Schizosaccharomyces pombe: one gene and its partners. The gene in region 1 interacts genetically with each later gene. Each region holds a gene or a part of one and is shown on either strand. Other genes may lie near its edges.

Evidence for each region.
Region 2: of mbx1 (region 1) and plo1, a mutation in one rescues a mutant of the other (synthetic rescue), as found in Schizosaccharomyces pombe (one study listed by BioGRID).
Region 3: of mbx1 (region 1) and sep1, changing one enhances a phenotype caused by changing the other (phenotypic enhancement), as found in Schizosaccharomyces pombe (2 studies listed by BioGRID, with this or other methods).

Annotation. Positions count from the first base shown.
Region 1 is NC_003423.3:2,353,064-2,364,500, reverse strand, and holds mbx1 (DNA-binding transcription factor, MADS-box Mbx1), read right to left. Parts: upstream 6,003-11,437; 5' UTR 5,073-6,002; coding exon 5,022-5,072; exon of another isoform or gene 4,955-5,021; coding exon 4,808-4,954; exon of another isoform or gene 4,657-4,807; coding exon 4,573-4,656; exon of another isoform or gene 4,501-4,572; coding exon 3,409-4,500; 3' UTR 3,345-3,408; downstream 1-3,344. Other genes in the region: arrestin-related substrate adaptor for RhoGEF, Art1, read left to right, coding at 1-222; PPR repeat-containing protein Ppr3, read left to right, coding at 1,161-1,415, 1,498-3,306; primary septum and spore wall linear 1,3-beta-glucan synthase catalytic subunit Bgs1, read left to right, coding at 8,258-11,437.
Region 2 is NC_003424.3:2,155,907-2,167,534, forward strand, and holds plo1 (Polo kinase Plo1), read left to right. Parts: upstream 1-8,324; 5' UTR 8,325-8,333; coding exon 8,334-10,385; 3' UTR 10,386-10,859; downstream 10,860-11,628. Other genes in the region: hpt1 (xanthine phosphoribosyltransferase), read right to left, coding at 1-142, 417-550; ER zinc importer, CDF family, Zhf1, read left to right, coding at 2,906-4,069; Clr6 histone deacetylase complex subunit Pst2, read left to right, coding at 4,666-4,696, 4,743-4,923, 5,002-8,017; putative potassium ion transporter Mdm28, read left to right, coding at 11,300-11,339, 11,396-11,628.
Region 3 is NC_003423.3:3,132,720-3,137,883, reverse strand, and holds sep1 (DNA-binding forkhead transcription factor Sep1), read left to right. Parts: upstream 1-1,779; 5' UTR 1,780-2,397; coding exon 2,398-4,389; 3' UTR 4,390-4,664; downstream 4,665-5,164. Other genes in the region: dss4 (guanyl-nucleotide exchange factor), read right to left, coding at 1-278; DNA-directed RNA polymerase I complex large subunit Nuc1, read right to left, coding at 4,916-5,164. UniProt on the Schizosaccharomyces pombe protein: Required for promoter sequence element PCB-driven, M-phase-specific transcription. Acts as a transcriptional activator with a role in the regulation of mitosis. Regulates septation and the periodic transcription of cdc15.

The DNA of each region.
Region 1 (11,437 bases):
CGTGCTAGAAACATTGAAATAACAAACCCAATTATTGTTTCCCCAGTGGAACGATCACGAAGTCAAGCCTTACTTAATGAAATTCAAACCCGAGTCCTTGACGTTCGCCAAAGCCACGGAGGCGTTGTCCTCGAAGAAAACGTTAGGATTGTGCGAGCTTCAGATTTTTCCAAAAATAATATGTTTGCTTATTTGAATGATGACATTGTCCTGTTATCTTAGGAAGTTACATTTTTCAAGCTCAATCTGTGCTTTACTACAAATGTAAATCCCGATATTGTTGATCATAAGCCTTACCTCTGTATTTCCCTGTGTTTTTCGATATTTGCAAGCCTTTGGTTTGCAATTAAATACCCACTTTGTTTATTTATTTGTCCCTCGTTTTTTTGTTTGGTTTCAAAAGCTATGAGTAAAAATAATGGTCTTCTTGTTTTTGTTTTGTTTTAAAAAGTATTCCTGTTCTTCGACATCAAATCAATTTCTATTGAATATGTCTTCATTGTTTTATTTATTCACTAGATTTAGCAAGTGGGACTTTTGGTCACTATTTGGTTGCTTTTTTGTACAACTGACTATTTATTTTAAATTGTGTCAACAGTTTAAATCTCACTTTATTCAGAGTAGGTTTTAGTTTAATAAAAACAGCTTTAAACCTGCTTATATAATGTACTACTTTCCTTTTTTATGTGGTTTGAATATCACATCGGCTGCACTTATGTCGGCGTTTCCACTTTCATGTATGTGGCTTTGAAAGTAAAGATGTAGTAAGCATTTAAATCTGAGTAAGGCTTAATATATATAACGATTGCATTTTGTTATCTAATAGCCCAGTATACGGTTACACTCTTAAATCAGTTACAATTTTATTAGATATTAAGCTCATTGTGAGTAAAATTTTTCCACACCTCTTCCTTAAGTTTGTATAATCCATTCTTATAGTAGTATAACCAGAAGTAAAAGTTTAAAATATTAGCAATTAAATTTCTTTTGAGGAATGAAAATACGAGATCATTATCAAAGCGTTTAATACCCACTTAACTTTCCATCCACAAAATATACGTTTCAATCCAGGTATTAATATCTATATATTATTGACTACTTTATCAGGAAAAAAGATCAAACATCTTTAATTTTTGAGATTTCAGAAGCTACTGTACCTTATGCTAAACAAATGTTCTGGCTCTTTAACACTTTTAGCTGTTAGAAGATTTTGTGGTCCTTGCCGACGTTTACATTATCATAAAGATAACCCTAATAACATTAATATTGCTAAAAATCTCCTGAACAATAATATACAAGCTAGATGCTCAACAAATGAGGCATCTTGGAAGTTGGCACAGAAAGAATTAGATCTGAAAATACGTGAATACGAACAAAAGTTAAAGGATGTTAAGCTAAATGACATAAACAAAAAGGTAAAATATTTATTAAATAAAGGGTTTGAGTACAAAATAACACTGCTAAAAGATACTGTCTTGTTTACTAACGTTAGCATAGTCTCCCCTTAACATTCCTGATGAAGTTTGGACTAAATTTATATCAGAAGTTAACTCTTATGATAAGGAAAAAGAAAATCATTTATCTACAGGTAACCACGAATTGAGGAGAACAACTCCATTGAAAATTGGACCACTTCTACTTACGAGAATCGGGCTATTGAAATCTAAGAACACAGCCAGCAATAATTATTCAGTCGATCATATTGTTTCAAATCTAGCTAATGACAATACGTTGTTAAATCGTCAGGTTTCTACCGAAGAATGGAACAGTCATCTTCGCCATCTCTTAAACATTCCTAAATGCTTTTTAGGGGTTGATATTGTAGAAATAGTCAACTTTTTTAACTATCTTCCTCAAACTGTTATTTCAAAAAGTTCCCTAGAAATTTGGAAAGCTGTTGAAGAAAGTGGTATGAAAGTTATGCCTGATTTGCTTGTCTTGCTTATGGAATCCACCAACGCATCTGGCGATTTCCGTAAGACTGTCCAATTGTATCATTTGTATCAAAAATCAAATGCTCCTCCGAATGGTTTGGTGTATCAATCATATGCTATTGCACTTTCTTCCCTTGGTAAACACAAGGATTTAGTTGCACTCTATTCAGAACAAAAATCAGTCTCAATCACCCCATCAAAGGATTTCTTAAATGCCTGTATCAAGGCATTTTCTCGAACCAAAGAATTTACAAAGGCGTGGGAAGTTTTCAATTTTATGAAATTTACAGCAACTAGCATCTCTCCGTCGGCTGAAACATACGGTCTTATGATTCAAATATGTTCTTCTCAGTATAATCCAGAAAAGGCACTTGACTTATACAATGAGATGAAATTAAGACCAATTGATCCATTAACCCCTACAACGTTCGTTATTAATAATTTAATTCATGCTTTAGCTACCGATGTTCGTTTTCAAACAGTCGCTTTTTCATTGCTTCAGGATCTTTCGCATTATGGTTTACGTCCAAATCATTCTACACTTTATGAGTTAATACGTTTAATTGCTTATAGTGGTAAACTTGACTATATGAAAGACATCTTGGATAATTTCTGGGTGAGGCAAAAATTACTGCCCTCGATACTCAAAGTTGAACAAATTTTTCATTTCATTTTTCGGGCTTTAATTTCAGCTGAAGTTCAAACTTCTTCTGTAACCCCTGATTACACTCACTTTAAAGAGGAGGTCAGGAAAATTATAGATAGTTCCAAAGAGCCACTTATACCTTTCCTTAAAAGATCAACTTTAACTGAGAATGACTTGTTCCTCAATGCTATTTATACTTTTGAATACGCGAAAAGGAAATTTCCTGAAGCTCTGAACTCTCGCTTAGTAACTGATTTTTTAAACATTTTTCTTGAGCGTGGAAGCGTGCAATTATTCAAGGAAATTTATCAATTAGAATTTCGAGAAATGTCGACAATGGAAGGTTCCTCAATGAAAGTTGCTAAGATTACATTGACTTATATATATGCTATAAAGTTAGCATTATTGTTTAACGATTTTGAATTTGGGTATGCTGCTTGGCAAGAATATTGGCATTGTAAAATACACAAATTGCTACCAAAAGAGGACGCATCATACGAACAAAAGGTTGTTTTACTTACTCTTTCTTTACTTTCAAAAAATAAGCACACATCTTTGGCTCGAAGTCTTCTCTTATCGCACCTTGATAAAGGCTGGACATGGAATAAGCATTCATTGGGTTTTATGAGAAAAATGTGTTCTGTTATGAACGATCAAGCCACTGTTTACTTGATTGATTCTATTACTAACGAAATTGGAATAAATCAAAGATTTACTCGAAAATAAAACATTATTCATAAATTTAATATTAATACTCATTTCAGTATCAACGGTAAAAAAAAATGTTATTATTATTATTTACAAAGATTGAAGAAATCTAAGGACATATTAAGGGGCATTTCGTTCAATATTTAAAGACGGATATAAATTATGATCAACCATGTTATTTCGATATACCGAATTTGTGGGGACGCCGTCTTTCAGTTGATCAGCAGGAATAGTGGATGAGGGTATTGATGACCTCTCATAATCTAAATCTAAATCAATTTGCGTTGTACCAATTAAAGCATCCCAAGTTGCATCAACTGGATTGTCGGTAAAAGAGTCTTGATTAACCATATTCGATTCGCGAAGAATTTGGTTAGGAGATGCTGTAAATGAGCGACTTAGTATGTTCAACTCATGAGTATCAATAAATCCGTTGGGCAATTCATCAAATTTTGGATGTTCATATACCATAGAAGTAGGATTATCGTGAGAATATAATTCTCCACGGTTTTCTTGACCCAAATTATCGGGAAGAAAAGGAGGCGTAATTTGATTTATAGCAGAGTCCAAAGGTGTTATAGGTGTTGAGCTGGGATCCAAATAACCAGAAGAAGGACTTTGAATAAAATCAGTTAGCCCGTCAATAGAAGCATGAGAAGTATGCAGCCTGGATATTCGCGGTTTTCCATTACGACGATTTTTAAAAGATTGGCTGCGACGAACAGAGCTACGATCAGCTCGGGAAGATGATTGTCCATATGCTTGACGCTTAGGAGTAAGGAAAGGGATAAAATTATCGGTTTGCGGAACATCATTATGTTGAAAAGACAGTGTAGGATTCAACGATTCAGGAGGAACAGAAAAAGACGATGAAGAAGACGGTTCTAAAGGTGAGTCAGAGTAATCTCCAGAAACTGGAGAGACAAAAGAATGTTTGACTGTTGGAGAAAGAGGAAGGTCATTATAAACCGACGCATGGTCCGGTATGGTAATCGACTCTATTTTCTTGTTCTCGCTTGCAGTAGTTGGAGTAGTATGGTACGTGGTAGAGGATTTGATCGTGAAAGATTGAAAGTCATTTTCACTGTCGGTAGCAGAAGAGCAATTATTAGAAGGTTGAGCACTGTATGTGGTAACAGAAGCAATCCGCTTATCTTTAGGTCTCCAATTATGAAGGGATTCATCAGATGGTATATTAGGATTTATGTTTCTCTTTCTCCCCAAGGGATTATGTTAGTAAACAGAATACAGGACAAGCATAATGATTGCTGATAAGTGACTTACCAGAGGGTCAACCGTGACAAAGTCCTTGTTCAGGAATTTTTGCAGCAAGGCATCTCTTTGCTCTTCCGGTTCCTCAGAAGAATACTAAAGAGGTGTATGTTAATATTAAAAACTTGTAAAAACATTGCCACGTTTTCTGGTTGTTGACCTTCATCACCTTCCCTATAATGTATTCACTTTACATTGAAAGGATATGACAGAAAAGGATCAGAAAAACGGGAAATATGAAACATACAACGTGACAAGCATTTTTAGAATCAAAAATCATGACCACCACTTTAGCATCACACAAAACGGAGAGTTCATGTGCTTTTTTTATCAAGCCAAGTCGTCGACGATTAAAAGTAAGAGCCTTATTTTTTGCATCGGAAATACGCTGTATCTAAATGGTACGTTAGCGAGGAGAAAAGGGGTGTATGAATGGAACCAAACCACTATGTAGCACATACAGAACGGCGAGGAGATGAAGGAGCAGTACTAGGAGGAGGATTAATATCCATAGTTAGAGTCCAAATATTTAGGTAATAATATAAATAAGAAGTAGAAAAAGAGCGACAATTAAGAACCAAAATAGTAAAAAAACAACAAAAAAAGGATTAAAAATTAAACCAATTGACTAAATCAACCGAGGAAATTCAGTGAAGTCTAGAAATAAAAATTAGGAGAAAAGGGAGAAGGAAAAAAGGGCGCAAAGAAAGTGAGAGTTTCGACTATTCTTATATTCTTGTTTCGTGATTATTGACAGTGTAATAAAAATCAAAATTAAGGGAAGGCAAAGACGCATGCAAGGAAGTGCAAAACTTAAAGGTTGAAATACAAAATATGATTATCCGCTAGATTCACTTGAATGTATCAGCTTGACTTGAAATGCAGCAAAACAGTAATGGGTACCAAAATGGGATATAATCTAAAGGGATAAGAATACAAGGAAAATGTCGTTAACGTTTTGGGTAGACGAATGAAAAAACCTTTTAATGTAGAAAAAAGAGATAACTTTGGAAGAATTTTAAAAAAGCAGGCAAATATTAGGATATCATTCAATCGGCTCCTATGACTTGAAGTCTAACCCAATACTAAATGTGCAAAAAAAAATAAGGAAGCCGATCACCAAAATAAATGGAAACCAAATAAAAAAAAGCCAAGGATGAAATTCAAAATATTCAATTTGAGACTTTCAAAATGTAAACAAAGCGACAATAACGGCAATGTAAAGTTTGCGGAGACAAAAAATTTCACCTTTGAATATAAATAGAAACACTGAATAGGCAGTACGGAAAAAAATTTTTCTTAAATCAACCCCAGACTTGAACCAAAATATAAAAAATGTGAAATTTGGATGAAAAAGAAGCGTATACAGCGTATCAGGAACGTATAGTTTGTAGGAAAAAACGCTGGATTTATCCTTTTCAAAATCTCGTGGTAAATGTACTGAGCCTTTCTATAAAGCCCACCCAAGCCCTGTAAGGTACCGGACGAAAAAAGTCTCGCTACAGGGGGTTAAGATGATAAGAAAGGCTAGGGTGCTAGATTATTTATCTAATAAGGTAGTGTAAAGAAGTAAAACAAACTAGAGAAGTAGAAAATATAGGAATTAATGAAATGGAGAAAATGAAAAGAGCAGAAGGTGCGACAATAGAAATAGTTGTAGTCAAATGATTGTAAGAAGTTGTTTAAGTGTGACAACTAAATAGTCATCAAAGATTTAAAAGAATATCGCTGTAATAGTCGATTGATAGATAAAAATATTTACAGGATGTGTTTGTTTTTGGGGTATTCGTAAGGGAAATTGCCCAATCCAAGTCTTAACCAGAATATGGAATGGAAACCTTTTCCAATGCCGGCACATTGTTTCTTCCTTTGGATTAACCAATTGCTTTTAAATTCGTACTCGGTTGTCTTTTCATCTTCTTTAGATCCTAACCAGATTTGTTAGCATTCAAATCCGTACTTTTCCCACGCATTCAATACCCAGACATTGTGCGTCTATGATTTTCCCAATTTTCGGGATTTGCGAAAAAAGCCCAATGCCTAGTTCTCTTCATAAGCTCTATACTGTAATAATCATACCTTTGCTAATTGGGATTCGGTACCTTCTAGCTTTGTATTATTTTTACTATTGTTTACCACCCATGTAGACAATCACATATTAGAAATTAGTTTAACAATTCCAAAAAAAAAGAACACTCGTCGCTTATGTTCACTGTAACTGAATTATGGTTTCAGCTACACTTTCTTGACTTTTTGTAGTTTGTTTACTTCTTTTCCAATTCAAATATAGCGTCCTTAGTTTGGTTAAAAGTATCCATCTAAAACGGTAGCTGGGTATAACGATTGATAAGATGCTACACAGTAGCTGCTTATAAATTCTTTCTTTGTTTGACCGGCTATGGCTTTGCTTTGTATGGGGATGGTTTTTTAAGCCTCCTTGTGCCTCGTTGGTGAGTAACCTGAGCCTCCTACCACGCCAGCCTCTAAATTGCTTACACTAAAATAGGCCTCAATAATGTGCACTACCCTTCCCCATTTCGCTGTTAGTTTTGAAAGAACCGGAATGAGTACAACTTGCAGACAACAAACTAGGAACTGGTGGGTTTTGGCTATTTTCACCGTTCTCTTAGTGGAATTACTCTAAAATTTTTGAAAATATATTGATTAATTAGAGTAAATTATCCTTTTTAACGTCAAATTTTTGATTCTGTTGCACGGAATTAATTTTTTCTTCCTTCTTATATATCTATCATTGGTTCCTTCTTTTCTTTTTCCTCTCTTTTTTCCTATTAGCCTCCATACAAAAAGGTTGACTCCATCTTAACATTTGCCAAGTTTTCTTGTGTGATATTATCTTTACGTTAGTTGCTCCATCACTGCTAAGTTTTCGGTGTGTGCAAGATCACCTTTTGTCGTAGCATTGTGTTTGTGTGGACGTTTGGCGTTTGTCCCGGGTTCCTCTTACCCTTTCGCTTCTCTTTTCCTTCCATTTTCCCATCTCCATTTACTTTTTTTTCGCTTTGAGAGATTGTAAATAAGCTTCTGCATACGACAATTTAATTGTTCAATCTAAAGTTTATGTGGAAAGCGATTTTATATTTTCTCCTTTTCTTTTAAAAAAACGTCCTTCCTTGAATCGCTTTTTTAAAAATTTGGTCAGTTTCCTAGGTGTGCATTTGTAAGTACTTCTTTTGGTGCTTGCTGTTTTATGGTATTATTATTGTTGTTTTTATAATTATTTCTTCTTTTTTTTCGCCTCTTTTTTTATAATTTGCATACTGTATTTTTAGGTTCCGTTCATTCCCTTTTGAACCTCCGATATCTTAACTACTCTTTCACTTCGTGATCCCACCCTTTTTCCTACTTTTAGAGCTTTTTCCGCCGTCTTCTCTCATCCGGCATACATATATCACCCTTTTTTCTTCTTTTTAGGATTTGAAAAAGTCTTTTACTTTTTTCATTTCAATCAGCACAAATTTTTTTCTCTTCTACTCTTTTGCCCCCATTTTCCAAGGCTTAACTTCTTTCTTTTTAATCTTTTTTTCAAGGTCTCTTAAATTTATTTCTTTCTTTTGAACATCGTTCCTCATTTGCTAGCATTCTTTCTCACAAATTCCAACTTTTCTTTCTTTCAATTCTTCTTAATTTAAGCATTAAAATTTGTCCTCTCTCCTTCTTTTGAGTCTATTTATTCATCATGGATCAGTATTGGCGTGAACAAGAGGGTCGTGGACTCTTTGAAGATGATGCCAATAGTTATGTCTCTGACGATGATACTATGAGCTCTCTGACCCGTATGATTTACGATAAAAACTCTTCTCGTGATGCATTACATTCTGATTATGATAGCTCTTCATTTAATGTCGATTCCAGTTCAGTTGCTTATCCGGCTTGGAATCAAGCTGGTGAAGAGGCTCCTGTTACTATGGAAGGTGTTCAAGAGATCTTGTTGGACCTTACAAATAAACTTGGTTTTCAAAAAGATAACATGCGTAACATTTTTGATTATGTTATGGTTCTTTTAGATTCTCGGGCATCTCGTATGTCTCCTTCCTCGGCACTGCTTACTATCCATGCCGATGTCATTGGTGGTGAACATGCAAATTTTTCAAAGTGGTACTTTGCTTCTCATTTTAATGACGGTCATGCCATTGGATTTCACGATATGTCTTCCCCAATTGTCGAAACAATGACTTTGAAAGAAGCTGAACAGGCATGGAGAGATCAAATGGCAGCATTTTCACCCCATCGCATGATGGTGCAGGTGTGCCTTTATTTTCTTTGCTGGGGTGAAGCTAACAATGTTCGTTTTGTTCCCGAGTGTCTTTGTTTTATATTTGAATGTGCTTATGATTATTATATCTCTTCGGAAGCTAAAGATGTCGATGCTGCTTTGCCCAAGGAATTTTATTTAGACTCGGTTATCACCCCTATTTATCGATTTATTCATGCACAGCTGTTTGAAATTTTGGACGGCAAATACGTCAGACGAGAAAGAGATCATTCTCAAATCATTGGCTATGATGATATTAATCAATTGTTTTGGTCCTACAAGGGCCTTCAGGAAATCATGTGTGCTGATAAAACTCCGTTGTTAGATTTACCACCGTTTATGCGATATCGACATCTTTCCGATGTTGAATGGAAATCATGTTTTTATAAGTCCTATTACGAGTATCGTTCTTGGTTCCATAACGTTACCAATTTCTCACGTATTTGGGTAATGCATATATCTGCTTACTGGTATTATTCGGCTTATAATTCCCCAAATTTGTACACCAAAAATTATCACATCCGCTTGAATAATAAACCTCCTGCTTCTTGTCGTTGGACAGCTTGTGGTTTAGCTGGTGCTATAGCTTCTTTTATCACCTTGGCAGCTGTGGTTTTCGAATATATACATGTTCCTCGTCGTTATCATTCTGCCAGAAGGTTGTGGCCGAGTATGCTGTTATTGATAAGTACGCTACTTCTAAACATCGCACCTGTTGTTTTCATATTTGCTTCGTCTACGAAAGAGCAGCATTATGCTTCTCGATTGGTTGTAGGAATTGTGCATTTCTTTTTCTCGTTGGTCTGTGTAGTTTACTATTCGATTACGCCGTTACGAAATTTGGTTGGTTTCACCACAAAAAGGTCTGGAAAAAACCTTGCTAACAGATTTTTCACCGCCAATTTCACTCCGACCTCAAAAACAGGTGCTTTCGTTTCTTGGTGTCTTTGGATTACAGTTTTGGTGGCCAAATTCTTGGAATCTTATTTCTTTTTAACTTTGAATTTGGCAGATTCTATCAGATTTTTGGGTGCTATGCGACCTTATGACTGCCGTGATTACATTTTAGGAGCTGGACTATGCAAGGCTCAGCCTAAAATTCTCTTGAGTTTACTGTATTTAACTGATCTTTCTCTGTTTTTCCTTGATACTTATCTATGGTACATTCTTATCAGCACTATCTATTCTTTGGCTTATGCTTTTTGCCTGGGTATCAGTGTGTGGACTCCTTGGAGAGAATTGTTTTACCGCGTTCCCAGAAGAATATATACAAAACTGTTGTATACCGATGACATGGAGATTGTCTTCAAGCCAAAAGTACTTATTTCTCAAGTTTGGAATGCCATTATTATCTCGATGTACAGGGAGCATTTGATTTCCCGTACCCAAATTCAGGAGTTGTTGTACCATCAAGTACCTTCTGAAAAGGCAGGCTATCATACTCTTAGAGCTCCCAACTTTTTCTACTCCCAACAGGTTAAGCATTATAAGCAAGATTTGTTTCCGGCTAATTCAGAAGCTGCTCGAAGAATCTCCTTTTTCGCACAATCCTTGGCTGAATCAATACCCAAGACTAGTTCCATTGATGCCATGCCTACCTTCACTGTTTTGGTTCCTCACTATTCTGAGAAAATTTTGTTATCTTTAAGAGAGATTATTCGCGAGGAAGATCAACTTTCTCGCGTAACTCTATTAGAGTACTTGAAGCAGCTATATCCTGTGGAGTGGAGAAATTTTGTTGATGATACAAAATTACTTGCTGATGAAAATGATTCTGTTATTGGCAGTATCGACAATGAAAAAAATGGAGTAAATAAAGCATATGACCTTCCTTTCTATTGTGTTGGATTTAAATCTGCGACTCCGGAGTATACTTTGAGAACAAGAATTTGGGCCTCTCTGAGAACTCAAACTTTGTATCGCACTATCAACGGTTTCAGTAACTATAGTCGTGCCATCAAACTGTTATACAGAACGGAAACACCAGAATTGGTCGAATGGACAAATGGTGACCCTGTGCGATTAGATGAAGAATTGGATTTAATGGCAAACAGGAAGTTCCGATTCTGTGTCTCCATGCAGCGGTATGCTAAGTTTACCAAAGAAGAAGCCGAAAATGCAGAATTTTTATTAAGAGCGTATCCAGACTTGCAAATTGCATATATGGATGAAGATCCTCAATCTCGACATAATGACGAGCGCCATCTTTATTCTGTACTGATTGACGGTCATTGCCCCATTATGGAAAATGGAAAGCGTCGACCCAAATATCGTATTCGTCTATCTGGTAACCCAATTTTGGGTGACGGTAAATCTGATAATCAAAATATGTCTATTCCTTACATTAGAGGTGAATATGTACAAATGATCGATGCCAACCAGGATAATTATTTGGAAGAATGTCTAAAGATTCGTAGCATTCTTGCTGAATTTGAGCAACTTACTCCTCCCTTACATAGCCCTTACTCGGTAAATGCCAAAGCTGCTGACAATCATCCCGTAGCTATTCTCGGTGCTAGAGAATACATTTTTTCAGAAAATACAGGTATGCTTGGAGATGTAGCTGCTGGAAAGGAACAAACATTTGGTACTCTTTTCGCTCGT
Region 2 (11,628 bases), on another chromosome or scaffold:
ATCAAGCCATTGAGTTCGCTTAACTTCAAGCCCAGGAACTTCTTCAGGGGAATCAGAAACAAGCTCTTCATACAGGCTGAGACCAATGGCTTGAATGGGAATATTTTTGCTTCCTTTTTTCTTAAGGAAAGTACGAAGGATTCTGTTATATTAGCAAATGTTAACCATATGAAGATAAGAAGAGCAAGGAATTTGAATGCACCACGATGGATTCTTGGGCTCAATTGAAAATGCAGGTAAACGATGCGTCCTTTTGAAAAGATCATACATAAAAGCCTTAAAATCCTTATCGTGGATAAGCATTGTTAAAATCAATCATTTGTGAAATCACAAAGATGCTGCCATTCAAATTTTAACGCAGTAGGCCGTTATAGGAAGCGCTTCTTCCTGTTATCTTCTTTATTTGTTCAACTTACCTAGCCGGAATGAATCCACCACCTCCAATGGCTATAATCACATCAGGACGAAAGGTTTCCAAAATTTTTTCTGCCTGTTGAGCACACATCTTATGAATGTCATTGTAGCTGTAATAAAGACGAACGGGATCCATAATAACTTAAGAACAAAATGAAACAACCAAAAAATGAAGGGAACGATAAAGGTGTAAACGTGAACGGGGGAAATACGTTCTTTTGATATTTATGTACTTTTGACAATTTAAGCGTTCCTTAAGGTAATCTCGTTAAATTACTGATAGGAAAAAGTCACTAACCCTACCCTCTATGGTGGTTAGTTAGGGATATTCTAACACCGACCAGACGGTGTCTAGCAAAGAATATGATGTTTAAAACGATTTCAGTTATCTATGAAGGCCATTACATATGTAAATGTTCTTTATATTGATTTTCTAGATGTTTAATACTTTTCAAAACCCATCATTTCGTTGTTAAAAATATATTAAAAGGTATATCAGCTAGCATGTCTGATAAGATTTATTATATGTATATAATGCTTTAGGTTTCAATTTTACTGTTTACTTTTTGTATAATTATAGCAAAATTAATATAGCTCAATTTTTGCCTGGGCAATTAACTGCGGTACATTACTCAAATGTACTCGTAACAAGAAAGGTTTTGGATTATTCAGTGCCGTTTGAAGAACCGATGCAGTCAGTCATCACATAGGTGTCTCATCCGAAGCCTCGTAGTTCTGGGAAGGATTAGACGCATTACCTAAAAAACGGTACAAGGGGGATTGTACAAGTAGATAGTGCAGCGAATTTGTAAATATCTAATCACTTGTAACCAGCCAAAAAGTAGATAACGCAGCATACGTAGTAAATATCGAGACACATGCTTACTTCAATCTTACACTAACTGGTGATTTTTAGATATGGTGGAGACCATGAGTTATTGATAAATGAACTATTTATTTGTCATTTGAGAATGAAAAGAAGGAAATATAATGAACAGGATGATTGAGAATGTTCTTATTCTTTTTGTTTTATTAATAATCATGTATATATATATATATATATATAAAAATTTTTTTAAAAGAAAACCCTCTGACATCAGGCTTTCATTCAAAACATTAACAATGCTGCTATGTTGACAGTATAATTATGAAAAGCTCTTCAACATCACTAGATTTTCCTTTTAGAAAGAGTTTTATTTTCGAAGCATTTCTTTTTTGTATGCATTCACTCATAATATTAAAATTACTTGATATATTTAGCTTATTACTAGCGAAATCTGGGGAGAGAGAATGCTCGTTTATGAACGAAGATCATAAAACATTGTAAGTTTTGAGAACAAACCACTGCTATAAACAACAAATAGAAAGACCTTTTTAATATATTTTATGGCGTTTAATCAAATTATTAAGCAAACCCAGTAATAGCTAAAAATAGTTGAAACATCTAGGATCATTTTCAATTCCTTATTTATTTACTTCTAAACAGCCGTTCGGCCAAGTTTCTGTGAGCTACAAGAAATGATGGTATCTTTCAATAAACAATGATTGGCGTTGCATAAAGCAAGCGTATGAATGGAATATTGAGCTATTAAAAATAATATAAATATGCAATTTCAAACGTTTTCGGCTTTTAAAAGTGGAACGTGGCACATTTAATCAACGTAAATCATTTTTTTTTTACCTATAGAAGTTTACCCAAAAATTGATACCAAGTATTAGCTTTATTAACTAATTACTTTTGGTAAAGCGGTAGAACCTATTCGACGAAATATCAATCAAATTACCAAGTACGATCTTGTCGCTCACTCATTACCCAAAAAATCATAGAAAGGACGATCCAAATATGTGTGCATATTGCTTATAATTAACTCGTTTATTACTGCGATACTCTGTAATTCGTTGTATCTGATTACGAATAATAATAGTCACTTTTACGATATCAATTATTATCAGATAAATATTTTCGATCGCAAAATTTGATCTTCTAACTATTTTGACTAATTTGTGCGTTTATTCTTAACACCGAATTGAAAGAAAATTTCAAAAGGTAGTCTTTGTTAGTTCCTTTTGTGGTAAACGCGATTAGTGGCCAGTCACTTACAAAACTTTGTTAAAGCAGACTAATAGTAGTCAACGTGTGATTTTATTTTTTCTTCACCGCTTACTTCTCAAAAGCCTCCTTTTTAATTTACTATCAAAAACGGCAGTTTTGGCAGTTTTTTGAAGGTTTATTGGTTTAATTAATTTATTCTGTAAAAACAAGGAAAGCAAAATTACAGATATTTGATTCTTTAGATTTTCTTAAACCCTCTCGCATCTTCGTCTTATTTTGGCTTTTTTTTTTGTTAAATATAGCAAGTTTGCGCCTCTTTTATTTAAATTCATTTTTAAAAAGCCACCTTTCATTCTAAATTTACCTTATTCCTTTTTCTCCCTGTGAAATTCAACCCTTACCATTTTTTTGAAATTGGTGACTTTTCGTTTTCAAACTATGTTCGACCTCGCAAGACAAACTCGGATTATCCTTTTATTAGGTATTGATGTTACTTTTTTCTTCATCGAAATTATTACTGGTTATGCGATCGATTCACTTGCCCTAATTGCTGATTCATTTCATATGTTAAATGACATTGTCAGTTTACTGGTCGCTCTCTGGGCTACTCGTCTAGCACATTCAACATCTCACGAACCAAAATACACATATGGCTGGCAACGTGCAGAGATTTTAGGTGCTTTGTCGAACGGTGTATTTCTCATTGCCCTTTGCATGTTCATTTTTATGGAAGCCATAGAGCGCTTCATTGAGCCTCCTTCTGTCAGCAATCCCACCCTTATGTTCTTTGTTGGTTCTTTAGGTCTGCTAAGCAATTTCGTTGGTATCTTTTTATTTCATGACCATGGTCATGATCATCCTCACACCCATACCGCTCAAAATTACGATTTTCCTGAAGAAGATGATATTGAATCCGTTTTACCTTCGACTATCGTTCATCGTTGTAATACCAGTCAACAAGAAGTCAGCCATACACACACTCAAGTCGCAGACTCTGCTACCGAATCTTCTCCTTTATTGAGTTACACTGGTAATCATAATGGTGCTGGTACTTCAAAGCCAGTCAACAACCATGGCAGTATTGAACAAGATGCACCAAAACAAACGAAGAAACGAAATTTGAATATGCATGGTGTCTTTCTTCATGTCTTGGGTGATGCTCTCGGTAATATTGGTGTTATTAGTGCTGCTTTATTCATCAAGTATACTGACTATTCTTGGCGTTTCCTCTTTGACCCATGCATTAGTATCCTTCTTACTTTCATTATTCTTTTTAGCGCAATTCCTCTCTGTAAATCCGCTGCTCTCATCTTATTACAAGTTGCTCCTCAAAGCATCAAACTGGATGATGTTTCCAACCTAATTAATCATCTAGACGGCGTGGAATCTGTTCATGAACTCCACATCTGGCAGCTTTCGGACGTTAAATTAATTGCCACTGTTCATGTCTGCGTTACACTTCCTGATGATAAGGGAGAGTCTTATACAAAGCTTACTACGGATATCCGTAATGTCCTTCAATCTTTTGGTATATATGATGTTACCATTCAACCAGAATTCGCCAATCATCCGCTTTTATGTGACCAAGGTTCCTCGTCTTAGTTTGCGAACATTATAAATTTAACGTGGTTAATCTATTGTGTCACATCTTTTGATTTATTCTTGAGGTAAAATTTTATATTGAATGTTTACTTTGTTTCATTTTTAAAGCGTAATTTCTTCTGCCATTCCTGTTCGTATTTAAAAACTTTATTTCACCATCTTGGTTGTTTGTTTTGCGAATGCACTTAAGTAAAGTAGTCGACAACTTAACTTTGAAAGTAGATAGTTTTCGATTTCTTATTCTTGATGAAGACGATGCATAGTTTCGGTTTTATTAAATCTCTATTATTCTTAGAAAATAATGTTTAGATGTAGTGTTTAATTATTTAAAAGGAATATTTTTTAACAATTATATTGGGTTTGATTCTTCTCGTTAGTATTTTTTCTAAAGTATTCGTTGTAAGTGTAAAACACCATCCAATGTGGTATTTGTGTTCATGTCTTGATAAATCATTTGAACTTTGGCTATCAGCGTCAGTTCATGTAATGCGTTGACGAGTTTGTGCGCTTAGTTGCATTTGCCGTTTCCCAAATCATCACCTCCAAAATAAACGAGATCGTATTCCTAGTCATTTGATGGTTAAAGATCAAAATACATGGAACAAACACTAGCGATATTAAAAAATGGTACGTATCAATTTAATACATAACTCATTTTAACCAATGTTGTTAGACAACTCAACGTTAGTGGCCGAGATGCAGAATCAATTAGTCCATGATTTTTCCCCTAATGGTACCGCACTCCCCGAGCTTGATATAAAGGCATTCGTTCAAAAGTTGGGTCAAAGACTGTGTCATCGTCCTTATGTTTATAGCGCTTTCATGGATGTTGTGAAGGCTTTACACAATGAAATGTATATATGGCTTATTTACTGAGTTGCTTTGAGATAGCTCTTTTTTTATTACTATTCACTTATTAACATGAACATTAGTGTCGATTTTCCCGGGTTTATTGAAAGAATATCTGTAATCTTAAGAGATTACCCAGATCTTTTAGAATATTTGAACATCTTTTTGCCCTCGTCTTATAAATACCTTTTATCGAATAGCGGTGCCAACTTCACATTGCAATTTACCACCCCATCTGGTCCAGTTTCTACACCGTCTACTTATGTAGCTACTTACAACGACTTACCTTGTACCTATCATAGAGCTATAGGATTTGTTTCACGAGTTCGACGAGCATTATTGAGCAATCCCGAACAGTTCTTTAAATTACAGGATAGTCTTCGTAAGTTTAAAAACTCTGAGTGTTCGCTTTCTGAGCTTCAGACTATTGTAACGTCTTTGCTAGCGGAGCATCCATCTTTAGCCCACGAGTTTCACAACTTTTTACCAAGCTCCATCTTTTTTGGGAGTAAACCTCCTCTAGGATCGTTTCCATTAAGAGGAATTCAGAGTTCCCAATTTACGTTGAGTAATATTTCTGATTTGCTTAGTCAATCAAGGCCGGACAACCTCTCACCATTTTCACATTTATCAAATGAGAGCAGTGACTTTTTCAAAAATGTGAAAAATGTACTTACCGATGTAGAAACTTACCACGAATTTTTAAAACTCCTGAATTTGTACGTTCAAGGGATAATTGATAGAAATATTCTGGTGAGTCGTGGGTTTGGGTTTCTTAAATCGAATTCGGGACTTTGGAGAAGCTTTTTAAGCCTTACTAGTTTGAGTCCGGAAGAGTTTTTATCTGTATACAATTCCGCTTGCTCAGACTTCCCGGAATGTGGCCCGAGTTACCGATTGCTTCCTGTCGAAGAACGCAATATTTCTTGCAGCGGTAGAGATGATTTTGCATGGGGTATACTTAATGATGACTGGGTCAGTCATCCAACTTGGGCATCTGAAGAAAGCGGTTTCATTGTTCAGAGGAAAACGCCTTATGAAGAGGCAATGACAAAGTTGGAAGAGGAACGTTATGAATTTGATCGGCATATTGAAGCTACTTCCTGGACAATCAAGTCTCTTAAAAAAATTCAGAACCGTATAAATGAATTGCCGGAAGAGGAAAGAGAAACATATACTCTCGAGGAAGGGCTAGGTTTACCATCAAAAAGTATATACAAGAAAACTATTAAGCTTGTTTATACCAGTGAGCATGCAGAGGAAATGTTTAAGGCCTTGGAAAGAATGCCTTGCCTCACATTACCATTGGTAATCAGCAGATTAGAAGAAAAAAACGAAGAGTGGAAGTCTGTTAAAAGAAGTCTTCAACCTGGATGGCGAAGTATTGAGTTTAAAAATTACGATAAGAGCTTAGATTCACAATGCGTTTATTTTAAGGCAAGAGATAAGAAGAATGTATCTTCAAAGTTTCTCTTAGCAGAAGCCGACATTCTACGATCGCAAGCGAAGCTCCATTTTCCTTTGCGAAGTAGATCAGCTTTCGAATTTTCTTTTGTATATGACAACGAAATAGTACTTTTTGATACTTGTTATATGGTATGCACATACATTGTATGTAACTCTCCCTCTGGTTTAAAGAAAGTTGAGCATTTTTTCAAGAATATATTGCCTTTACATTTTGGTCTTGAAAAGGATAAATTTTCGATATTCCTGGATCAAGTTTTTCGTGGTCCTGATTACGATGTGAATGCCCCGAATATAGTTGGTAACAAGCCTGTACGTCGGAAAAGATCTAATTCTATAACCCAGTTGACGGAATTTGTAAAACAACCTAAAATCAATGGTCAACGCGAAAGTCGTTCAGCTGCAGCTGCTCGCAAAAAAGAAGAATCCGGTAACAAATCACAATCTAACTCTCAAAACTCTTTAAGTGATGAATCTGGAAACGTAACGCCGGTTTCTAAGAAACAGCTTTCACAACCTGCTGCAGCCATTAAAGCCAGTCTCAAATATCCAAGTCATCCAGATAGTCTTTTGGAACATCAAGATCATGCTGGTGATACGGAGAATGAAATGCATGACGACGTCGATAAAGAACAGTTTGGATATTCTTCTATGTACGTATTTTTTAGACTTTTTAACTTATTATACGAAAGGCTTTATGAGCTTCAGCGTTTGGAGGATCAAGTGTCCATTATCCAACAGCGTATAATACCAAACCCAGTATCTCAAAAACAAAAGATTTGGCGCGATAGGTGGAATGATCTTTCAGATGTCCCTGATGAAAAAACTCATTACGAAAATACTTATGTGATGATTCTTCGATTAATATATGGGATAGTTGATCAAAGTGCCTTCGAGGACTATCTGCGGTTTTATTATGGCAATAAAGCCTATAAAATATATACTATTGATAAACTCGTTTGGTCTGCTGCTAAACAAGTCCACCACATCGTTTCCGATGGAAAATACAAATTCGTTACTAGTTTAGTCGAACAAAATAGTTCTGCTTCGCCTAAGAAGAATTATGATGACTTTCTTTATCGCTTGGAAATTGAAAAGCTTTTGAATCCTGATGAAATTTTGTTTCGATTTTGTTGGATAAACAAATTTAAATCATTTGGAATCAAAATAATGAAGCGAGCGAATCTTATTGTGGATCAAAGTTTGGATACACAGAGACGAGTTTGGAAAAAATATGTTCAAAATTATCGTATACAAAAACTTACTGAAGAAATATCTTATAAAAATTATCGTTGTCCCTTTCTTTGCAGAAATATAGAGAAAGAAAGAACAGTTGAGCAATTGGTTTCACGCCTTCAAACAAAGTTATTAAGATCTGCAGAATTGGTTTCCGGATTGCAAGCAAAATTATGTTTAGACTCGTTTAAATTGCTCTACTTACCACGCACAGAAGATTCTTACATAGATGCATCTTACCTGCGCCTTAGAGATACCGACTTCCTTGATTGCCAGAATAAAAGAAAACAGCGTTGGAGAAATCGATGGGAATCGTTATTAAAATCGGTTAGGGGAACTTCTGACAACACGGCAGAGGTGAATTTTGATGCTGACATTAATGCACTATTTATCCCATAATGATTTTAATGCAGTCGACCTACCTATTGATCATATTTACTTAAATACAATTTGACTTTAATAGTTTTATATTACTTTGTTAACATAACTTATCTTTCTAGGTATTTTATAATTTCAAGGATTTATGTATAGTACGAATTTACTGAAATTTTTGCACATAAGCTTTGTATTAAATTTTCTAAAGCCGTACTTCTGTAATTACTACATAAAATATTACAATGCACAGATTTTTATTTACAAACAAGCGGTTGTCGTAGCAACCACTTTGTTTACCCTCAAAAGTTACCACCTGCGTTTTGTTAGAAACAAATACCAAATGGCGAGTGTTGCAATTAAAGAGCCCAAAACTGCTATAACCCCGAAGAAGAAGTCCAAAGCCTCTCGTCTTTGCTTTACTCCGCCAACTAATCTTCATAATAATAAAAAAAATATATTCTACACTCGCTACGATTGCATTGGTGAAGGCGGCTTTGCGAGATGTTTTCGAGTCAAAGATAATTATGGAAATATTTACGCTGCTAAAGTTATTGCTAAAAGGTCACTACAAAATGATAAAACAAAGCTGAAGCTCTTTGGAGAAATAAAGGTGCACCAATCCATGAGTCATCCAAACATCGTAGGATTTATAGATTGTTTTGAAGATTCGACGAATATTTACTTAATTTTGGAGCTTTGTGAACATAAATCTTTAATGGAACTTTTACGTAAGCGAAAACAATTAACTGAGCCAGAGGTTCGGTATTTAATGATGCAAATTTTGGGAGCTTTGAAATATATGCATAAAAAGAGAGTCATTCATAGAGATTTAAAGCTTGGAAATATTATGCTTGATGAGAGTAACAATGTAAAAATTGGTGATTTTGGGCTTGCCGCGCTTTTAATGGATGACGAAGAACGTAAAATGACTATCTGTGGTACACCGAACTACATCGCACCTGAAATTTTGTTCAATTCAAAAGAAGGACATTCATTTGAAGTTGATCTTTGGAGTGCTGGAGTAGTCATGTATGCCCTCTTGATTGGAAAGCCACCCTTCCAGGATAAAGAGGTAAAGACAATTTATAGGAAGATAAAAGCCAACTCATATAGTTTTCCTTCAAATGTCGACATATCTGCAGAAGCAAAAGATTTAATTTCTTCTCTTCTGACACATGATCCAAGCATTCGTCCCAGTATTGACGATATTGTTGACCATGAATTCTTTCACACTGGCTATATGGCTTCTACACTTCCAGATGAAATTTTACATTCAATGCCTATATGGCCTTCTTCCCAATCAAAATCAAGCTTTCAGAGAAACCTGGACTTCGTTGCCTCTGCTTCCGGAGTAGGCTTTGGAAATTCAGCAGGTGTAGAAAAGAATAAACCTTATGCACTTCGAACAGATGAAGTTGATAATGATCGAATATTACCAAGTGTTTTAAGTCCAAGGGACCGTGTCAACCCTGTTATGAAAATAGGACCGGAAACCAAACCTGTACCATCAAAGCTCTCTACAGCCCTCCATGCAGCTCGTAAATCCACTGATGGAAGTTTAGGCTCAAGAGTTAAAGTTTTGAGAGAAGAATCACAATCATTTGTTCCAACTAAGAGCGCTGTCACTGAACAAGTTGAACCTATTCAATTAATTCGGTCTTTATCTGCAAATACAGTTTCAAGACTTTCTAAGGTTGGAAATATGAAATCAGACATTTGGATCAGCGTAAAGAAGACAGCTCTTAAAATCGGGATGGCATTGGAAGCACATACACACGCTTTAACTTCAGAGGATGCTGACTCTGAGCCCGTTCTTTTTATTACAAAGTGGGTTGATTATTCCAACAAATATGGTTTAGGATACCAGCTATCCGATGAATCGGTTGGCGTACACTTTAATGATGATACATCCTTGCTTTTTTCAGCTGATGAGGAGGTTGTCGAGTATGCTTTACATCCTAAAGATACAGAAATTAAGCCATATATTTATCCTGCTTCCAAAGTTCCTGAATCTATAAGAAGTAAACTTCAGCTTTTAAAGCACTTTAAAAGCTATATGGGACAAAATCTTTCGAAGGCTGTGCAGGATGAGAGTTTTGAAAAACCCAAAAACTCAACTTCCAATACCATGCTTTTCATGCAGCATTATCTTCGTACGCGTCAAGCTATAATGTTTAGATTAAGTAACGGAATTTTTCAGTTCAATTTCCTGGATCATCGAAAAGTTGTTATTTCCTCTACCGCACGGAAGATCATTGTATTAGATAAAGAGCGAGAGAGAGTGGAATTGCCTTTGCAAGAAGCATCCGCATTTTCAGAAGACTTGAGATCTCGCTTAAAGTATATTCGCGAGACGTTGGAATCGTGGGCGTCGAAAATGGAAGTGAGTTAATAATACCGTTAATCTATACTTGGGCGTTAAGTTACTATGCTGTCTATTTTTCCATATTTCACATCCTCATTTTTGTACTATTCATCCATTCAATTCAGTTTTATGTTAATGTTTTACTAATTCTTTTTTTATTATTTCTTTCCCTCAGATACATCTTTTAAACGCAGGAGCTCTTGACGAATAAGTTATAAACTTAAATTATAGCTGCAAATATCAGCTTAATCCCTTTTCAAAATTTTTTATTTTTTGCTTTTAAATTGATCGCTGCAAATTCTGTCTTAAGGCGACACTTATTTATCTAATCAAAAGGATTCACAAATCTCAATGTTCCAAGTGTTATCCAAAATGTTAGACTAGTCACAGCTATGTTAATTGATTTTTATTCTCTCGCTGTAACTGAAATCCTTTTCACAGATTAGATACATGTTTTGCTAATTATGTCAGTAAAATGTGTACAGTTGAGTTCAATCTGCTGCATATTAAGAATCACAGACTTTGTAACACCAAATTAAATTAATTAATAGTAGCATTATTTATTGTTTACAAGGCATTAATTTATACTTCACTAAGTATATCAAAAGAGCAATAGTACTGGTTTTTACTAGCAACTGTCACGTTGAATCCAAATAGCAGGAACATTTTTATAATAAATAGGCTGATGCGATAAAAGAACTGTTTGCTTTTAAAGTACTTATAAACTAATTCCAGCAATACATAATTAGTAAATAAAATGCTTTCTCTACCTACGCTATGCTATGTTAATAGCGATTGAGGAAATTACCTAACGGACAATACACTAATTAGTTTAACGAATATGAAGCTTTGCGTAGCATGCGTTAAATCTCTTTACTATTTCATAAACAAGCCGAGTCAAATTGATGAAGTATCCAAGAACGCATATCCAATTCCCCAGTATGCTTCGGAATCGTTTGTTTAAAACCCCACATCAGACTGGTAAGGATATTAATGCTTTTTCAAATTGCTCTTCAATTTGTACTAACGTTTTGTAGGCTTTCAATGGAGGTTAGGCGCTCCGGCGACGGGAATTACAATCAGGAACCAACCTATTAGAAGCTATTCAGGTCTGCGAGGAAATTTTTTGATTGATAAAAGACTCTCTCCTGTCAAATTTAATAAATATAGTCCATCAGATATAGTATTCTATAATATCGGCTCTTCAAGACTTTACTCTACAGAAACTCCTACTCCTTCTAAAGTTAAGGAAGCCCCGAAACAGGTTGCT
Region 3 (5,164 bases), 780 kb from region 1:
AATAAATATTCATTGTTCTTAGAATCATAGTAGCCCAACGGACCTTTTTCACAATCAGCACAAGCAAGTAATTTATAATTATTTGCTAAGGGTTTTGATACGCTAACGTTGTCGAAAGCAAACGGATCTTTTAGAAGAAAAAAATCGTCAGTTTCTAGATCTTCTTGTGTTTCAGAATGCAGCATAGCTGACATTGTTGGCCTCTTAACAACATCTGGACGTTTGTTATTAAATACGACTGAAGGGCAATGTTGACAAACAATTCGCAAATTCGACATAATTTAGGAAAACAATATGGTGGTAGTTAGTTAGTAGTAAGCGCCAATCAGCGTTTTTTGTGGATATAACCTATTAAAAAAATAAAAATACAAGAGAAAACTTTTAAAAGTTTAAATGCTAATTACAAGTTCTTCAAATTTAATTCAATACATGTAGCATTCATTTCCAAAATAGGTACTGACGTGTCTAGTGCAATGAAGATATGGAAAACAATGTTTTGCATTTTGACGATAGAAGCAAATCAATAATTAGACGCTGAAAACTTCTTTTTTTTTGACATGCTATTTGGTTTCATAAATTAACATGGCCTGGTTTTCACTATATTTAAACTTCACCACATAATTAGTAAGTTATTATAAAAGAAAACGCAAAAAATTTTTATTTGCTCGTCTAATGTGTTCTTGAATATTGTCTTTCTCTTAATGTTAAACGAGACATATCAGTTCGCCTGATGCATTGGTTCATATAGTAGTTATTTTCAAATTTAGAAATTCGGACACATAATTCTTCTATCCTTCTATGTTAAATACAGAACCTTTTTCTTTCTACTCAATTTGCTTTCCGTGTTGCAACCTTGACACATACTAAAACTTTGTACACAGTGGTTTTTGAACTTTCTTCTAGTAACTAAAATTTTAGAAGTACGGCATTGAAAGAAATATTGTAATCAAACTTTGAATGTGTGCAGACTGCAAAATTGGGAAATTAGCTTGGCACTTGCAATTTTCAATGTAAATGTGTAGGAATCGTGTGCCATCCCTTCAATTGTCTAATATTTTAATTGAAATCTATAGAACTACGCTATTTTTGCTCGAATTATTGCTACTATGATTACTTTGTCTAAATCCTTAATAAAAAGAAGTATTCTTGATTAGCTCCGTGAACTTCTCGATTCAGTTATGTGACAAAGAATATTATTAGCTTCCAAATATTGAAATATTATTATTTTATTAACTAAATGAGTTTCTAAGCCAAGTCAATTTATCAATCATCGTTATTGTTATTGTTGAAATAATACAAAAAATATAACGCATGCTATTGATTCTTAACCAAATGTATTAATCACCTAAAATTTGTCAACCACTAACTGATATGATTAGACTAAGCTCAACTTCAACTTATACTCTCTTTATAGCAATATTTAAGTTGCATGAACATCCGACGTTATTAAATATTTTAGTATGAAGATAATATTATAGCTATTCACTAAAAAAATATTTCATAACTGAAACTAGTGCCTCATTTCATTTAAATTTCTAATTATAGGACCTCAAAAAATAAAACAACGTTTTACTGTATGGTTAATACTATGGAACCAGAAATGTGTCAAATTAAGGGCATACTTAATGAAGGAGGATAATTGGCAGCTTAACGTATCATAACGTATACCCTTATTACTGTTAGTAAAATACTCACAACCCAACATCGTAATCGATTTTTCGGCTCTATGACATATTGTCACTAAAATAGAGGATCCGCTTTCACGAGGTGGAGATTTCTATCTCATCTCGTACACTCATATTTTGGCAAACGTCCAAAATTGGAGCAATTCGGAGCATTTGATACGAAAGGATATTTGACACGATTGTGTATCACTATTACAAATCTTAATATTTTTATGCAATATTAGTATCTCGTTGTGCATTTCTCTCGTTTCTGACAGCATCCAGTATTGAGTTTGTATCTTTTGCTTCCTATACTGTAATACCTATTTCTATAATTATTTCTGTCTTAGACTTAAGACTTTATTTTTGGTTGTAAAGGATTGTGAATTTAGAGCACCACACTTTCTTTCTTTCTTTTTTTTGTGCTTCGGAATCGTGCCTTGTCGTAACACTAGTGCGAGAATCCAAGGTCGGACAATTTTTTTTTTGTCCTTTGAGTACTATTATTATTAATTCTTTTCAAATCTTTGAATTTTGCAAAATACTTCATTCTTTTTGGTCCGCATACTGACAATCTATGTTTGTGTAAGTCCGGAGTATAGTAGTATTCACTATTACTATTATTTTCCCTTAATTGGTTTTCTCTTTTAATCATTATTATTATTGGCATTGCCATTATCTAACGGTGCTTTAATTTTTGTTTTATTATTCAATTTGTCTGAACATCTTCCTCATGAATTTTAATTCTACTAACCCTTATTATTTTACTCATGAAAAAAACCTTAACAATGCTTCTAAGTACTCTGAACTCCCAATTGCTTATCAGGAAATTCCTTTGCAATCTTTACCACCTTATCCCAAGGTTGCTTCAAAGTTGAAGGGCGTAGTTGCAGGCGGAAAAGAAAATAACATTGCATCTTTTCAAAAACCTTCTTCAAAAGCCACTCGACCATATATACCTTCTTATACTAGATTGACTTATTCTGTTCCTCCTCTTCCCATACCTCCTCCTTCGGAGCAATCTTTGGATACTATTATATATCGAAACCCTTCTGTATCTTCTTCTCAGTCTCAAGAACCGGAGGAGTTTTTCTTACCCCTAGATGATGGAAAGAAACCTCCTTATTCCTATGCTATGTTAATTGGAATGTCAATAATCCGTTCTCCCGATCGTCGTCTCACTTTAAGTGCTATATATGATTGGATCAGCAATACTTTTTCTTTCTATAATAAGTCCAATAACGGTTGGCAAAATTCCATCCGCCATAATTTAAGTCTAAATAAGGCATTCATGAAAATTGAACGTCCTAGAAATTTACCGGGGAAGGGTCATTTTTGGAGCATTCGTCCTGGTCATGAAGAACAATTTCTAAAACTAAAGCTGCGTAAACCAGGAGTAAATTCAAGACCAGCGCCTCCTGTTCAAGACGTTACCTCCTCTACAAAATATGGATCTTCTACCGGTTCCTCTGGATTTAACACGTTTAATACTTCTCCCCATATATTTAATCAGCGACATCAATATCTTCAGAATTATTATACTGCATCCTTAACGAACATTCCGACGATCTCTAATGTTAATGCCACAAATTTTCATCCTCTTCATAGTCAACAACCCTATGTAGATACCCCTGGTATCGATGCACCTTCTGATTTGGAAGCTAAGTTTTCCGATTTGGGTGTTTCCTCTGTCGTATCTGTAACTTCTCCTTTACAATCATGTACAAATTCTCCATCTCCTCCTTTGTCATCACCAGCATCCAGTGCTTCTCCATCTGAATCACTTAGGAATGAATCTTTGGGAATAAAGTCAGCTAAATCATTGGGTTTGAATAAAGATGATGCACCAGTAGAAGGTCCACCTGTATCACATTTGGAGAAGGATGTTGAAACCCCTTCAGTTCATGATTCCGTGTTGGGTTTTAATGACACTGTAACGAATCTCGGCAAGAAAGGTTTAAAAGATGGTACAACTAATACCCTACAGATCCCTGCAGTCCGTTTACCTTCTTTACCTAGCTCGCCTACCATAAAAAATCCCAGTGGACTTTTGCTAAAGCGATCAAATTCTATTGATTTTCCAACCCCCCCGAAGGCCTTGTGTCCTAAATTGTTTTGCTTTCGTGATGACATCGTGGCTGATGACTACACTAAGTTTTCTTTACTTTCACCCATCCGTTCTGATATGAGTGGTATCTCAGCAAGTCCGAATACAAATTTGAAGGAGCATCGAACTCGTATCTTGCAAATGCTGGCTACACCTGATGCAAAGCAATTATCATCTTTAACATCATCTGATGCAGAGTTTTGGTCAGTCACGCCTTTGAAGTCTTCAATTCTACGTAATGGAGATGCATCTAAACAAGTAACGCTATCTGAAAGTCCTAAAGGTGATAGCTTACTTGATGGAGGATCATTATCTTATTTTACCAATAACATTAGTTCCGTTGCCGGCTTAGAAACACCAAGCAAGCTACCCATGAGCAAGTCGTTTGATACCTTTGAAGATGATTTTTTGGATCCCATGGATATGTTGAGTTTTGAAAATCACTTTTCCGACTTTAATAGCAATCGAAAAGTGTCTCCTGTTAAACGTGAGGTGCGTAGAAAATATATTTCTTCAGCAACTACTATTCATTCTTCAGCCGCGCAAGATGATACTTACTTGCCTTCTCCTACCAAGAGGAAAATGCCACTTCTTCGTCAAACTTCAACACTATTCTAAATTTGTTTTAGCACTTATCTACTTTTTATCCATGCTTTATTTAATGTGATATTTCTTCGTTCTAGTTAAAGACTGCTATGGGAATTCCTAATTTTACACATATCTTTTACCTTGGTTGCTTAATAAACTTTCAAACCCCCGATGTTACTTGTTCATTTGCGTGCGCAATTTTTTTAAATTTACGAAAGCTTTTAATTTATATCCGGCGAATTGTTCTCCCAGTTGCATATCTAATAGTCACATTAGCAATATAAAGCTTTATGAATATTTCGTAAACATAGTATACGCTTATAGCGTTTAGAAGTTTATCTCTTGTGTTATGTAAGAGTTGTAGATTAAACGTAATTTTATTTGTGGTAACCTATCTAAAACTTATATGACAAGTATTAGTTCCAAAACCCAATTTATTTATTTTATATATTTTTGTAACAAGTAGCCAATAAAGGTTTAATTTCCAAAATCTTTTATTTTGTCAAAACACACATTTTTCTAAAATTATTCCCCAACCGCAATAAATATACCTTTTTTAGTTTGCAGGAGAATCGACTACAGGGGTGAATATGTCAAAAGAACCGGTGCCAAAGTTACCGACTCGACCAACGACTAACCGAGATGAAGGATTGGATAAGTCATCAACATCACCACGGAGGGCGGCCTCAGTCAAAAAGTGACAAGTGGTCTCAAAAGACATTTTCGCAAATGGAGAAGTGTTATATTCTATTCCCATTCTATTGAAGGCTTTGTATCCTCCCTCGAAAGTCATATAATCTGCAAT